2 linked regions of the Neurospora crassa OR74A genome follow. The protein of the gene in region 2 interacts with the protein of the main gene of each other region in a biochemical or structural test. Links are inferred from orthologs where the notes say so. Each region holds a gene or a part of one and is shown on either strand. Other genes may lie near its edges.

Region 1 (7,924 bases), about 3.1 Mb from region 2:
AGCAAGGCTCAAAATCAGATATCCGCTCGACATGACACAGAACCGATACATCCTCCAGAACATCCGGTGCGCAACTTCTGTTGAGGGGAGTATGGACGACAACAAGGACGCGGTTCTGCAACATACGAGCTAGTATGCTCCCAAGCTCGGCATGTCTGGGCGGGCGCGATGTCTCGCAGACGTCGAAGAGTCGATCTGGCAGTGACGGTAGCAGGTTTACTATTATGAGCATCAGAACTGGCTTACAGTTGAATGGATGACACTCACGCGAGCAGGTAAGCGCCGCCGCTCAATAATTTGGCATACCCTTGGCCGTGGCACTTCCAGATGCCAAAAGCAACTCGCTTGACGGTGTGTCTGCCGCAGAGAGTGCTGTAGTGGAGGGTTGAGGGCCATACAATTTCTACCGCTGAGTAGGAAGAATTCCCACCGGACCTGAGAGAACAACCTCATCAACGAGATGGAAGCAGAATGGGGTAACAAATTAAGGATAGCGAGCATGCTGGCCGACCTCAACTCGCTTGCGCTGCTTTCTCAGAGAGGAGCCATAGCTGGAGCAATAACCATTTATCAAGCTTCTTCCGGAGAGGAGTAAAATGAGAAGGCTCTTCAGATCAAGAAACCTATGGCCTTACCAGCTGCCATATCTGCCGGAAGATCCGACCTCTGTCGGGGGGTCAGTCAAGCGATTCTTCCAGGCATAGTAAGAGTGCTACATACTGCCTGCGTGCTTTACCAACTGGATGATTCTGTTACCAACCACAGCTGACGTGCAAGCACGCTCGGTTCAGTCAAGCAACGGAAGGCGAGAACCTAATGTGTTCGATGCTGGCGAGCGAGGAGCAACGGCTACGACCTCGAAATATAGTAGAGATCAATAGATATTAAGCAATCGACTGAACGGACAGAGGGGATTAGGTCACATTCTGCTTCTGGGTGACTTAGGGAGAAAACAACCCGGAACCTGTCAGGTCCGACCTTTATTCAGTCCGACAAAAGACACAGGTCGGAAGGGGAAGGCGGGAAGAGCACTTACTTGCATAGTTCTCATTTGGGAAAGAACATTCCCAGGTGTGGTGTCAGTACATAGGTAGGTTCCATATACTACCTAGTCTGGATCAATACTGGGTTTTTTCGAGGCCACAGCATTTAACGCTGGGACTTGGGCTTCACAAAAAGGGGAAATCAAAGTCAAGGGGTGCGTGGAAAGTTTTTATACCTAATCAGTCTACAGACCAACCCCGCATCGGCGTTGTTGTATCTCGAGGTAGACCAGCTTCATCAACGACAGACCCTTGTTCCTTTTCGAGCGTGTACACTAATATGTCGTTGGGGAGTCTACATAGTTTGAACCATGGAGAATGTATCGGGATCTGTGCACAAGAAGACGGCCGGCCGATCGATCGGCAATGCTTGTTTGAATGTTGTCGTTTCCCGGCGCCGGGCCGTGCCCCCACATACAATAATACTCCGCACTTGGCTGTTTCGATCTTCCGGGACGGGAGGGAATGCCACTGACCTTGGCACACCTGGTAAACCTCCACAACTAGTGACATTGAGCAAAGAGAACTACAATTGAAACTGCTCCTGTCTGCCCAATTGGCAAGATGTTGAGAGCGCTTACCGTACTCTCTTTGCTCTTTTCTAAACCTCTACAACCATCAGGAGGTCTCAACATCACCATCCTTCAACCTGACGTACCCTTCGTCCCTCACCCCCACCCTCTTCCCGGCGCGGCGTCCGACTCAAAAGAGATTATTCGTCAGTTTGTAGAGCTTGATCGTTCAACGAAATGGAAACTTGTTGATAAGGTTCAGTTCGAAGGCGACACCTATGAGCCCGAAGGAATAGTTCGCATCGGCAATGACCGCTACTTCGTGTCGGCTGGTGAATACATTGTGCCGACGGTCAAATACAATGAGACCATCAACGGCACGGATCGCACAGCTGGCGAAGGGTTTGCCCATATGATCATCTTCGATGGCAAAGGGAAGCGTATTGCTGATGCCTCAATCTCACAAGCCAAGTCTCTCGAGGTCTGTCCGTCCGTTGCGCAGCCCGTTCTCAACAATCTTACCGCGGCTGACAGCACAAGTAGTACCACAACGGCGGCATTGACTACGATGGAACCTACATCTGGGCCACCCTCTCCCAGTATCGTCCCAACACAACTGGAACGCTTGTGAGGATGCGCCCCGACACGCTGGTACCAGAGCCCATCTTGAGCGTTGCAGACCACCAGGGAGGAGCGGTCCACGACACAAAGTCCGGAACTGTAGTCACCTTGAACTGGGGGTCGCGCAAAGCGTCGATCTGGAACGGGCACGACAAGCATCTGGCGCCCGCCAAGTTCACTCAGCCGCGGGCAGTGGTCAGGAATCCGAGCAGCTTCATTGACTATCAGGATTGCAAATTCCTGGGTCGTTACGAGCTTTACGAGACCCGGCCAGTGATGTTATGCTCTGGCGTTGCAGACTTGGCGAACACGAGAATCGGCGGTATCGCGATAGTGGACATGGAAACTATGGTTCCTTTACACGAGGTTCCTGTGACCTTGGTGTCGGAACATGGTGCTGCAATGACCAAGAATCCAATGGATGTGGCTGTCGTGGACGGTAAGATGAGGCTGTTCTTCCTGCCCGATGAAAGGAATTCGACTCTCTATGTGTACGAAGCGGTTTGAGTTAGGACATACCGAGCAACGTGGATTATTCTTCTCGGTGTTTGTTTTGGCGTGTTTTTGCACCTTTTTTTTTTTTTTTTTTTTGCCTTCGTCAGGGGTCATCAGAGCAGGTCAACCGGGCTTATTTGGAAAGTCATGACAGTAGGCCTCAGGTCTAACTTGTTCTAGATCTGCTCTGTACCGTCGTGATTCGAGAAATAGAGTCCCGCTTTGCTTCTCCTTGGTGGTTGATGACACATATTTGACGAACTAGTTTAATCCTTCATATGGAGAAGTTCTTGAAGACATGCTTTGACTTTGATCTGCTCCTGACTACAAGTTCTATGGTGAGCTATCCAGGCCTCATTTGTGTGGAGTTGTCGCGGATTTTCCTTATCATGGGGCTGTCATTAAAAGATCGAGTGCGGCCGTTGCTTGCTGTTGGCTTCCATGAGGTTGTGCAACCTTCTTCGTTGCCTTGTAATAAGGCACAATGTAAGGATGATTGATTGGAATCGCGATCATGATTTACGGCAATCCATCCTGTTTCATCGATGCGAGTGAGTACCAGAAGAATGGGATTGCGGGCGAATGGGTATACTGGTATGACGAACTGAGCTGGATCTAACTTTCAAATATCTGGTGATGTGCAGCCCATCGAAGGTGCTGGGTGATGATGTTCATCTTTGATAGGTGCTCCGGACGCGTCCCAACCGCTCAGCAGACTGCTAGCACAGTTTCGCTGAGGTCAAGCGAAGGTCAACTACTTAATGGAGCTTCCCTTCCTGCTAGCTGGCTTGGCGGCCCGCATCAGTTAGTGGGGACTTGGCCTGGACTTACATTGTTAGTATTACTCTTTCCCTGCAGCAGCAAACTGCTCGGGGACATGAAGATTACTAACAGGCGCTACTTTTAGCATGTACCCACTACGCGAGCCCTGCGTCACTATCTCCAGGTCTTGGAAGCCGATAGGCTCACGGTCGAAGGTTCTACAACCTCCTGTTCCTGCTACACACGCCCTTCGCCAAGGCATTTTATGGCCTTGTCCCTCCCTCTTCCACCAAGTGATAGCTTCCTCTCCGACTCTGTGTTGCATCTCAATTCTGTTCAATATCTGAAATCCCTACTCTTGCATTGCGAATTTGCTCTCGCGCATTCCATCAAGATCGACTTTGACAGGCGCTTTACGAGCCATCCAAAGGACCCACGAGCGCTATAGAATCGCTAACGTCTAATACGCATCTGTCATCGCTACCTCACTCTACCTTAATTACCCTACCCGTACCACTACAACAACACAGAACACGTCGGGTTAATTGTTCTCCCTTGCACCTAACGACCGCCGAGACACTTCGCGGCTCTGATCAAGCTTCGCGAAACAGCCTCTACATTTTTACTAGACTCACATACACTACACTCGTCTCTAATATTGCGTCACAAAGATGGTCAAGGAAACGAAGCTCTACGACCTGCTAGGGATCAGCCCTACGGCTACCCAGGACGAGATCAAGAAAGCCTACAGGTGAGCATATCTCCAACCCGAAACCCCACATAACTGCTCTCGCATCTCGCAGTATAAGATCGAGGGAGAGATCTCCTCTTTCCTACGCCATCCTTCTTTCACTTTGGCATTCACATCATCCTCTCTTACAGCCTTCAGTGGACCCCTGCTGACCCCTCACCAGGAAAGCCGCCCTAAAATGGCACCCCGACAAGAACAAGGACAACCCGGAGGCTGCCGAAAAATTCAAGGAGTGCTCTCAGGCGTATGAAATCCTTTCGGATCCCGAGAAACGCAAGATGTACGATCAGTTCGGCCTTGAATTTATCCTGAGAGGCGGCCCGCCCCCGACTGAGGGCGGCGCAAACCCATTTGCCGGAGCTGGTGGCATGCCCGAGGGCTTTGCTTCTTTCTTTGGAGGAGGAGGCATGCCTGGTGGCGGAGGAGGTGCGAGAACATTTTCCTATGGATTCAATTTTACCAACCCCGAGGACCTCTTCCGGGATGCTTTCCGGGATGAAAAGATGGGCGGCGGCATGGGTGGTGGCATGGGTGGTGGCATGGGCGGAATGGGTTTTGAAGACATCCTCTTTAATGCTGCGCGTGGTGGTGCAGGACAGCGCCGAACTGCGAGAAACCCCTTCGGCGGCGCCGACAACATGCGCAGCGCCCGCCAAGCAACACCCGAAGTCACGACAGTTGAACGCCCCTTACCCGTATCCCTTGAGGATCTGTTCCACGGCACGACGAAGAAAATGAAGATCAAGCGCAAGACCTTTGACGAGACCGGTAAGCGCACGACGAGCGATACCGTCTTGGAGGTACCAATCAAGCCCGGCCTCAAGAAGGGTAGCAAAATCCGGTTCAAGGGTGTTGGTGATCAAGAAGAGGGTGGCCAGCAGGATTTGGTGTTCGTCGTCGAAGAGGTACGTATAAACTCCCTTCCCTTTCTTCACGCATTGCCTTTTTGAAGGAATGGCCAGCTGACAATGTGGTTTTAGAAACCACATCCGCTTTTCACTCGGGACGGCAACGACCTAATTCATACTATCGACTTAGACCTCAAGGAGGCATTGACAGGGTGGAAGAGAACCATCACGACGATCGACGGCAAGAGCATTAACATTGAGAAGGCCGGCCCGACACAACCTGGGAGCCAAGATGTATATCCGGGCCTGGGCATGCCCATCTCGAAGCAACCAGGCCAACGGGGCAACCTCATCGTCAAGTATAATGTCAAGTTCCCCACCAGCTTGACGCCTGAACAAAAGGAAAAACTGAAGGAAATCCTCTAAATGGGGTCAAGCGATGAGTATCGGTTCTCTGTGGTAGTTCACTCTCGGATACCTTTGTCCTTCTTGTCGCCTCAACAGGAAGGGACCAGCAGTCTTGGATTGGCCTGAAGAACAGCTTTTAACGCCGGCCTTTGACAACATTCGGGAACCTGTTCGGATCCACCCCCTTGAGTGTATGTAGAATGGTGGGCGTGTTGGATTTGTTTTTTACCCGGGGGGCATTTGCTTTGGTCTCTGTCCGCCATGTGCGGTTCTTGACCATGGTCCACCATATTTGGGCGTTACTGGATTTGTTTCTTCTTTTGGTGCTCAGCTTTCATCGCGTCAGGCTCGCATTGAGATTGGTATTGTTGGTTTAGGCGGCATGTGTGGTGGGAGCTGATGATGACAATTTTCATGATAATGAGTATCCCCGACAAAAGTTCTTAGGCCCCCTGTTGTGAATGTTGGGAGAGGAAAGGGCGCTGGTCTCTCTTAGCATGTTGCGTCCTCTCAAGGTTCAACAATAGCCAGAGACACGCGAGGCCAACGTCAATGGGAATACCATAGCAGGCTTAGATATCAAATGGCTATATCTTTTATAGAAGACGGCTTGGACTACTGCATCTCGGAATGGATTCAAGGTGACAATCCTCGGTCACCACCACCAAACGACACACACGAGGAGAAAATTGATCGTGACCATAGACTACCAAGCGGGGTGGCTAGAACCGATAGATGGACATAGTTACTACAGAATGAAAATCAATGTGCCCAGAAAATCTCTCCCTTTCTCGACTTGACCTTGGAGAGAAACCATAACTTGCTGAAAGACGACGCGGAGCGACATGTGGGAATATGTGCAAGTTCCAGCTACAACAAGTTGGCCAAATAAACACACAGTCGTGTACGTATCTTAGGGGGGGAAGCCACGGCGGGGCCGAATCCAACTGCGAAGAACGATGATTCAACTTGTCCACTTTTCACTTCATCTTGGCTCTCATCACGGGATTTTTGAAAGTACAAACAAGAGGGACAACGACATTGTTAGGTCGGCCCGTCTACCTACCCAACAGCCATTCCAACACCCCGCCAAGCCAAGGATTACATATAACCGGCTGGCTGGTCGATCGGGAAACGCGGCATAATGGGAGAATGAGCGGAAGCGGAAGTGACCACTCGGTCTTACCTTTCCCGCGTTGTCGCTTACCTATACTGCTTTCTGTTTCATTTGTTTTTCTTTTTTTTCTTTTTGGGACTCGGATGGCTGTTCTACTGCTGACTTGATCATCATTTTGGTGCTGATCTCAATGGGGGGTCATGGAAGCATCTCTACGGTTAGATATTTTTGTTATTGGACAAAAGATTTGCAGGGTCCGGGTCCAAGGTTTCTGTGAGGTTCTGGATTCGGATTTTTGAATCGAGCGCTTTCACCTGTTTTCGGTTTTGTTGCTGTGTTGTTCTTCGCGAAGATGGTTCGACCGAGGCCTGTCCTTGGCTGCACGATGTTCTTGGTCTCATTGATGATGATAGTTAGATAACTAGCTATCACTCTCACAATCACTTAGTGCTACTGTTAACAAGTTAGAGTTCCTTTAGCGTACTTCCCGGGCCCCGCTCTATGTCACGGTGGGGCTTCTGTCCAATGACATCACCGGGTGCCCCACTACCACTAGTGTACTCTGACGCCGATCAACATCCTGTCTGGAGAAGGCATCCGTCTGCACGTTTCCTCAGGAAAAGAAAGGTGTACGAGAGGGGGTGCTAGGTGCTCAGGGTGATGTGAGGGGTCAGAGCAACATTCAGAAAGTGATGGAGAAGATCGATCGAATCCCGTCTCGAAGGTTCAGCAGTTCTGGTGGTTTGTCAGTGTGGTCCCCGAGCGCCGAGCGCGGCAGTGATGTGTGATGTGGTGAGGTGGGGTTTCAGGAACGGACCTCGTAACCGTGGTCAAGACCGGCGATGCACGAGTCCGTCCTGTCCTGTCCTGTCCATTGGTCCCAGGGGTCCTTCTTTTTGTTATTGTTCTGTGCCTTGGACTTTGGTATGTGTAGTGGGTTAGGAAAAGAGACCGGGAAGTAGGTAATATCCACATGTTAGGGATTCAGTAAGTAGAGAGAGGTAGCTCTTTTCTCGCTTACCTTACGTAGGTACTTCAAGCTTCTTTCTCCCGCTCTTTCCTTCCTCTTATTTACTCCTTCATCCTCTTATCTTCTCTTCCTCCCTACAAAACGGCTATTATTTCCACCTCTAACCTACCGCACTCACCCTCGCTCTCTATCCTCGCCTCTTAGCAGACGTGCTTTCGCTCTTGCTCCACACGACTTTTGCTCATAGCTTAAATTGCTTCGTGTTTACGAGATACCCATTTGCTCATCACGATCATCCTTTCGGCTACTTATCTTAACCGGGAACTCTTGGAGATCACGGCCGAAGAACGCTAGCGACGTTATCATCTAAAGACACCTTCAGTACCCAACTCAAACG
Region 2 (7,868 bases):
ATGATATTCATACGGGTTGATATGTCAGCAAAGCATGTTTTACGCGAACGAACTGTTTCAGGACAACACACCCCGGGACGTAATAATCACGAACGACGCATGGATGGACGGATGGGACGGTGGATGACGGATGGACGGATCGAGGGTTTCTTTTTTTTCATGTTTCTTCTTGAGGTGTGCTACGGCTCAGCTTCTTCATGTTATACTCCCCCCCGTTTGGTTTTGTGGTGCAAAACTTGTTTACATTAGTAATTACTCTTTTTTTAACTCCGGATGGGTCGTTTTCATTTCGGTTTGCAGTTTCGACGTTGTGTATGACTGGAGCGAAAGAAAAACAATAGAACCCGATATAAACGCAACGACCCACACTCGCTCCTGTTGAAACCGAAACAGAGAGTTCCACGGCTCAGCTCTACGTAGTGAGTGAGCTTATATGATCTCAAGTAAAGCTTAAATGGACTACTGACTGTTGGTTGTATACTAACCTGACTCTTGTACCACTGACTCTTCACTCACAGTTCATCTGTTTACTTAGTCACTTCTTCACTTCAATCACACTCTCCCCATCTCCTTAAAACCTTCTCACAACCACTCTTTCCAGATTTCACTTTTTTTTCTCCAATTTTCCTAAAGCTCTCTCGAAGTTGTTCACCCGGTCACTTCACCTACCACTTCACCCATCACTTTCACTTTCAGTGTCACCCAGCCCCAAAACATCCTAAACCCCGAAAAAAAAAAAAAAAAAAAAAAAAAAAAAAAAAAAAAAAAAAAGTCCTTATACAAATCTCCGAAGAACAGTGAGAAGGAGCTGGTTGTCTACCTAACAACAACAACAACAACAACCTACTAACCATACATATACATATATTATCTAACATGTACCTATGTACCTAACTATCTAGGTAATCCTCTCTCTTTATTGAGAACTCTTTTGCTCCTTCATGAACTGAGTGCTCCACAGGCTGGCTTGCTGCTTGCTGCTCTTGAACAAGTTGCGAGTTGCGAGTTGCGAGGGCTTAAGTGAGATATATGGTAGGTAGGTGGTAAAAAGAAAAGTGATCTACGTACGTACGTACGTATTGGAAAAGAAAGGGTCAGCGAAACGATGGTGGGTGGGTTTGTGCCGGATCTTGATCTTACCTGTGTAGAGGAGGGAGGGCATGTATCGTCAGTAAAGTAAGTGGCTGGGATTTCGAAGAATAGCAGGTAGTTGGAGAGTGGGAAAGACCTAAAGAAAAAAGAGAGAAAAAAAAAAAAGAAGAGACGCCGGGAATCGGTGGTTGGGCTTGTTTCTAAGGGTTTTTTTTTTTCTTTAAAAATTTTCTCTTTTTATTTTGGGGGTGGGGGGGTGTTGAGATTGGCTGTTTCTGGGGTTGCTTAGAATTTGAGTCTAACTTTTAATATGAAAGGTGACTCGGAGGAGGCCCCGAGAAATCACCCCGTACGGATGTCCCACGTTGGTTTTTATCGATACCCATGTTTCATTTTCATCTTCATCTTCATTCTCGTTTGTTTTGTGTTGTTCAGCGTATTTAAGCTCGTTTACTACAACTCCAAGGTGAGTATATACAACATACTAATTCGTCATATAATTACGAACATACCGAACTCCCCATCTGTAGAGTTGGCCCATAAAAGCAGATAGAGAGAAGAGCATTGAAATCAACTCCATATTCAACCAAAATCAAATGCCAATTTGACCCCCGAAGCGTAACATGACATAACATGATGTATGATGATAATGGATTGATGGTGATGATGATGACGATGATCGTGATGTGTAGTGATGAGGTCGTGTGGAATCGAGAGACAGAGAGAGAGGGAGAAGAGAGAGAAGTATTAAAAAAAAAGCATTACATCCTATCCCATCCAGGCCAACCTATGTAAAACACCATCCATCCATTCCCGCGTCTCCTTACCGCCAACAGACATCCTCAATCTCCTTACACCGTTACAGCAGTAGCAACAACCAAAAATGAACCCTTTTTAATGTACAACACACTGCTTTTCTACTTCGTTTCAAAACTTCATCGCTTTCTTTATTTCTCTTCCTTTTTTATGCTGCTAGAGTAATCTTGACATGCTTTTACCGCATGCCGGGACCACCGCTCATGCCCTGGAGCTTGCTGGCCAGCTCGGGGTAGTTCTCCTGTACCTGGATCTGTGTCCTCGTGGCCTCGGCGTAGGAAAGGGCGTTAACAAGTTCGCCTTCGGTGCGGGCGAGCTCGGCGGCACGCTCAAAGAACTTGAGGGCCTCGACGACCTTGCCCTGCTGGAGGAGGAGCTGGGCCATGGTGGCGACGGCAATGTCGCACTCGGGGTCGACTGGAATCATTCATGTTAGCACACAAGATATGATAATTTGGTTTGAAATGGGGGCTATCTTACTGATGAGGGCCTTCTCGCAGAGCTGCTCAGCTTCGGCATAATCCTGCTTCCACTGGAAGAGGGCAAGAGCCTTGTTAATGAGGGGGAGAACGTTCATGCACATGGGCTTGGTCTCCTTCTCGAGGGCGATCGCGGTATCGAACTTCTCAATGGCTTCCTGGAATTTGTTCTGGTCGAGAAGAAGCTCGCCATAGTAGTTGTAGACATCGGGGGTCTGGTCGAAGTTCTTCATGCAGCGGCGGAAGGTGGCCATGGAAGAGGCAATGGAGCCCATCTTGTACTGGGTGACACCAAGCTGGATGTGGGAGAAGATGAAGTCGGAGTCGAGATCGATGGACTTCTGGTAATCCTTAGCAGCCTCGGCGAACTCCCCCTTGATGAAGTGGAGCTGGGCGCGGTGGTAGTAGATATCAGGGTCCTCGGCGTTCTGCTCAATGGCCTTGTTGAAGTCCTCCTCGGCCTTGTCGGGGTGACCTATAAAAGGGGTTAGCACAGGTCCAAGTTAACAGTTGAAGACAAAGACTTACCGAGCTCAAGGTTCATGCTAGCACGCTTGATGTAGCTCTGGGTCATGGCAGGGTCGAGCTCGATGGACTTGCTGAGATCGGCGAGAGCCTCCTCGTGCTTGCCCATGAGGCAGTGGAAGGTACCACGGAGGTTGTAGGCAAGAGCCTCATGAGGACCGAGCTCGCCGAGGTCGAGGGCCTTCTTGAAGGCGGCGGAGCCCTCCTCATAACCAGTACCAGTCTTGCTCTCCAAGTGCTTCAAGCCAAGCTGCAGCTGACCAAGACCGGTCTCCTCGGAGAGCTCAACAGAGTCCTCGAGACCCTCGGGGCGGGGCTTGGAGCGGAAGCTCTGGAGGTAGTTGCCAACAAAGGTGGAGCTGGGGAGCTTGGGAGGCTTTGTCTCGAGGATTTCCTTGGCCTTGTTCTCGGCGAACTTCTTGAGGAGGCGCTCGACGGCCTGGGCGCTCTGCTCGTTGCGGAAGCCGTCGATGATGCAGCTGGCAGTGAAGTCGAGGAGAGCGTCGCTGTAGCGGCTAAGCTGGTCGTAGGCATTGGCACGGCGGTTCAGGGCCTTGACGTAGTGGGGGTCGAGCTTGAGAGCGGCGGTGGTATCGGCGACAACCTGCTCCCACTGGGCGAGGGCATTGTGGCAAGCGGCGCGGTTGGAGTAGTAGACGGGGTCGGGCTTGCAGATGATGGCCTTGGAGTAAAGGTCGATGGCCTTGTTGAAGTCCTTGGAACCGTAGGCCTTGTTTCCGAGCTCCTTCAGCTTGGCGGCGTACGCCTTGCGCTCGTCCTCGGATAGCCTGACGACGGATTCCTCATCGATCTCGGGCAGCTCGTCGGCGCTCTCGACGGCGGCGGCCTTGGGTTGTGTGGGAGCGGCCTCTTCTGTCTTGGAAGTAGAAGCCTTCTCGGCCTCCCCCTTCTCGGCCTGCTTCCGTTTCCTCCTTTCCTTCTTGCTGAGCTTGGGGCCGGACTCCTTCTGCTCCTGGGGGGAGTGGGCGCAAACGTTAGTAAACGAGAAGACCTCATGCAGCTGGGCAGGGCGCAGGGCAGCAGCGAGACGCGGGACGCGGGAAGATGCGCGGGAGAAGGATGCAACGTACTGATCCCTTGCGGAGATAGTAGACAACACCGGCGGTGGTGATGACGACGGAAACACCAGCAATGGTGTAGACAACAGCCTTGTGCTCCGAGACCCAGTTGGAGACGCGGTCCCAGATGGACGAGTCGGCCGGGACAGTGACGGGCGTGGCCGCCGGGATGGGGACGGAGGGCGGCGGGATGGTGGGAGCCATGGTTATTATGTGGTGATGGGTGTAGGAGAACCTCTAGTAGATAAGGTAAACAATCAGGGTATATACTAGATCGGAGTCGGCAGAGAGACGACCGAATGGCAAGGCTAGGTAATCGAGGAGACGAAGGGACGGCGGCGGCGGCGGCAAGTTCAGAGACAGATTCCGGCAACTGCTTCAATTGCAGTAAGTAACAAGCCAAGTGAAGTTCCTCTATTTTTTTGAGTGGATGATGCGGGTTCGTTCGCAAGGGTCGGACCCGGACTTGGATAGCGCGGCGGGCGGCGGCCACAGCCCACGGCAACGTAACTGGACTTCAAGGTTGGGCCCGGGGTACTCCTTCACTCCTCTACAGGTTTTCCCTCTTGGCACACGGCAGCGCAGTCCACAATAAGTCCACAGGTACGCGCACAGTCACTGAAAAAGGTAGTAGCAAATGGAATCCTCAAGCTTGGTAATTGCTCGATGGCGTCGGTGGATGGGCAGACGTATGAATGTCTGTCTGCTGGGGCTCAAGCTCCGAGATCTTCGTCGTGCGAGAAAAAAAAAAAAAAAAAAAAAGTTGTTTTGACGCGGGCGGCAGTGCGGCTGGCGGCTGGGCAACCGGCAAACAAACTACCATACATACCTCTACGGTATTACATATCATGAACTAAGGCCTAATGGGATGTAAATAGACAGTGTTGACCTCCAAAGCTGACGTGGTCTGAGCTCCTTCAAGCTGCTATTGCCAAGCCTTGTCAGGGCAGCTGGTGCCTGAATCCCCTCTGTTTACAGCTCAGCACTGTTGGTTTACACATGGACTACTCGGAGCTGAACATCCATTCCCCTTTCCCTTGGATTTTCGGAACAACGGAGGTCGAAGTTTATAACAAGAATGAAGACTTCTACATTGTCTACTATCACAGACTAGATAAGCCCTGAGAATACTCTATTTCAGATAACTCCAACCACCATTAACCCAAGTTCATCAACGTTCGTAGCTGAGATATCTCTCAACTCAGCCGAGGGGAAATGGAATAAACGCCAAGAATGACCGCACACGGTGGGGTAAGCTTCGCTTATGTACGTCAAGCAAAAGCGGATCAGGGCAGCTTGGGTGGTTCCACTTTAAAGTTGAACGCCCCGCCATTCGACCATCAGGGCAGTGTCATCCCGTCCAGACCTTGTCGCTGCCGTCTTTGATGCAACTGTGACAGAACTTGACTCGTGGACTGCAGTGATTTCAGTTTATACATCCGTCTGTATCTTTTTGTTACATGTTTCATTCCTGCCATCACCGGCGGCTTCTTTTACCAATCATCGGTCATGTCGGCGCGAAGGATTGTTGATTTATCGGGCCCATCAGGTATGAGGAAACCTAAGCTGATAGATTTTATACATTATATTCCCCATGAAACGACCACAGAGAGCAATGAGTCAGCAAGCTGGATTGCATGTCATATAAAACAGATAATACATTACGGATATCGTATTCTTCACCATTCACCTTCACTCTTCGGAGTCTCTAATCCATCGAGTCTATGCTGTTCCTCCATCTAGGTAACCTTCAAAGACAGGCACCCTCACAATGGCGACCACGACAGAAGCTCCCCTCCTCCTCTTCACCACCCTGCGTTACGACCCTCTCCTGCTTCCCGGCTTCGTCTCTCCCACTGAATCCTCCCCGTTCGCTCCATTGTACATGCTTCCTTACCATCGCGATCGCATCCTGCGCGCCGCCACTCACTTCAAATGGCCCGCCGTAGTCTCTCTCCTCTCCGGTGACAGCGGTCTCGAAACGCTCTCCTCCTTCATTTTCTCCTCCCTCTCCGACGAGCAGCGATCTCACCCAAACCGCATCCGTGTAACCGTCTCTGAGAAGGGAGAGCTAGGCATCACCATCTCACCAGCACCACAAGTCCCTTCAACAGCCAACTTCTTCCCAAATTCCCTTCCCCAGCCGGGTACCAATATCCCTAGTCTATGCCTGATGGGAACCTCGACGCCGTTCGAGGTCCTAGTCGACACCCAAAGGTCCAAAAAGTCAGCATACACGCACTTTAAGACTACGAAGCGCCAAATCTACGACGAAGCGAGAAAGAGGCACGGGATCGCGTTGACGGATCGGAAGGAGGTGTTGATTGTTAGCGAGGATGGGGAGGTGATGGAAGGGAGTATTGCCACGCCGTACTTTTGGAGAGACGGGAGATGGGTGACACCGCCGGTTGGGGAAGGTGAGGGAGAGACAGAAGGGGATTGGGGAAGTGGTGGAAATGCGGGAACTACGAGGAGATGGGCTTTGGAAAGGTGCGTTTCTCCTGCTTTGAGATGAGATGATTATTATTGGGCAGTTCTGCTAACGGCGCGCCTGGGTAGGGGAATTGCGGTTGAGCAGGTTGTACGGGCAAACTCGCTGGTTGATGAAGAAGAGTGCTGGTTGAGTAATGGGGGCAGGGGATTCTACTTTGGAAAGGTCAAGTTGGGCTAGGTCCTGAGATGGCAAGCGGATGAGCGTTAAGGGCATGATTCCGTGATGCTTTCATTGCGCCAGGATACCGTTTCTGAAAGTCGCGGTTACCATAAGATATGGCTTGTAATCGTCGTTCGGTGCTACCGAGGCTGAACAGGGGCAATGTTTATTTGCTCCCGTCCCGGGCATCACTAGGGCAACACACCAGGCTGGGCTGTTTCCCATCGTGAGACCTTCGGGGGATTTTGCGGAGCAATGTATCACGGTGCGCAAGCCGAGCCAAGCTAACAACTCATAATCACCTGTTCAGAAGGCCCAACACAGACAAACTGACGAGCCGAGGTTCAACATCATTAAATTCGTCCTTTTTGAGGATGAAGGACCTGCTGAAGTCTCGGAAATGGAACTTGTAAGCGGGAGCACCCCGATGAAGCACAAGTGAAAAGTCAACCGACGGACTAAAGAGAGATAAGATACACCATATCTCAATGCCATAGACATGAGCATTACACTACAACTATCATACTTCTTTTTGCAAAGTGTCCCTTCAACATGTGCTCTTGTAAAGTGAAGCTAGCCCCGCGATATCGCTGAAGTGATCTGCATGGAAGTTGGGCAAGACAAGGGGGAGGGGGAGCTTCAGATCCACTGCTGAGGATGGCTCGTGCACTTCCACCCTCACCGGCGCTGATTGGCTGGATCTAATCAAGCTCTCTGACCGACAGCCCAATTCGAACCGGCACGTCCCTGCAGCAGAAACGCCCTTTTCGAACGAATCGAGGCCAGTCCGTCTGGATGTCGCGTCGTGTGCTACCAGAAAACATCCATCTCTGCGACCGGACGACTGACTGACTTTCTGCGGCTATCCGATCTTGAAGTCTTTCGCAGAGACTCTCAACCTGTTAACCGACAACCGTCAACCGAACCCTGGACCCTTCCCACGTCCCCACCAAACAACCCAGCTGCTGGCAGACAACCTCACACCCACTCGATTTCCGCCTGGCAAATGCCTTCATGACATCCTGATTGTTGACGATACACGATTGCAAACGACCACTACATACAACCCTTTCTGTTTACTTTAGGTCTTTGACCGCACAACGGCCTACCACCGAAGCCCACTCCCGCAGAGACACGAAGACCCTTGTCGAAGCCTAGCCTTCACCCCGCCTCCGCGATTCTACGATAGCATCACCACCCACCGCTGGGACGGTTAGGTGGCAG

What was found.
Region 1: the proteins of tom70 (region 2) and NCU03732 form a complex in vitro, tested with the Saccharomyces cerevisiae proteins (2 studies listed by BioGRID). The link is inferred for Neurospora crassa OR74A from reciprocal best matches to the Saccharomyces cerevisiae genes TOM70 and SIS1.

The regions. Positions count from the first base shown.
Region 1 is NC_026505.1:2,237,187-2,245,110, reverse strand, and holds NCU03732 (SIS1), read left to right. Parts: upstream 1-3,669; 5' UTR 3,670-4,104; coding exon 4,105-4,184; intron 4,185-4,347; coding exon 4,348-5,089; intron 5,090-5,164; coding exon 5,165-5,458; 3' UTR 5,459-6,217; downstream 6,218-7,924. Other genes in the region: NCU03733 (hypothetical protein), read left to right, coding at 1,608-2,036, 2,099-2,683. UniProt on the Saccharomyces cerevisiae protein: Required for nuclear migration during mitosis. It is required for the normal initiation of translation. Might mediate the dissociation of a specific protein complex of the translation machinery. Essential for viability.
Region 2 is NC_026505.1:5,338,468-5,346,335, forward strand, and holds tom70 (outer mitochondrial membrane translocase), read right to left. Parts: upstream 4,715-7,868; 5' UTR 4,196-4,714; coding exon 4,004-4,195; intron 3,886-4,003; coding exon 2,916-3,885; intron 2,863-2,915; coding exon 2,389-2,862; intron 2,326-2,388; coding exon 2,087-2,325; 3' UTR 1,481-2,086; downstream 1-1,480. Other genes in the region: NCU04246 (hypothetical protein), read left to right, coding at 5,763-6,481, 6,551-6,662. UniProt on the Saccharomyces cerevisiae protein: Component of the TOM (translocase of outer membrane) receptor complex responsible for the recognition and translocation of cytosolically synthesized mitochondrial preproteins.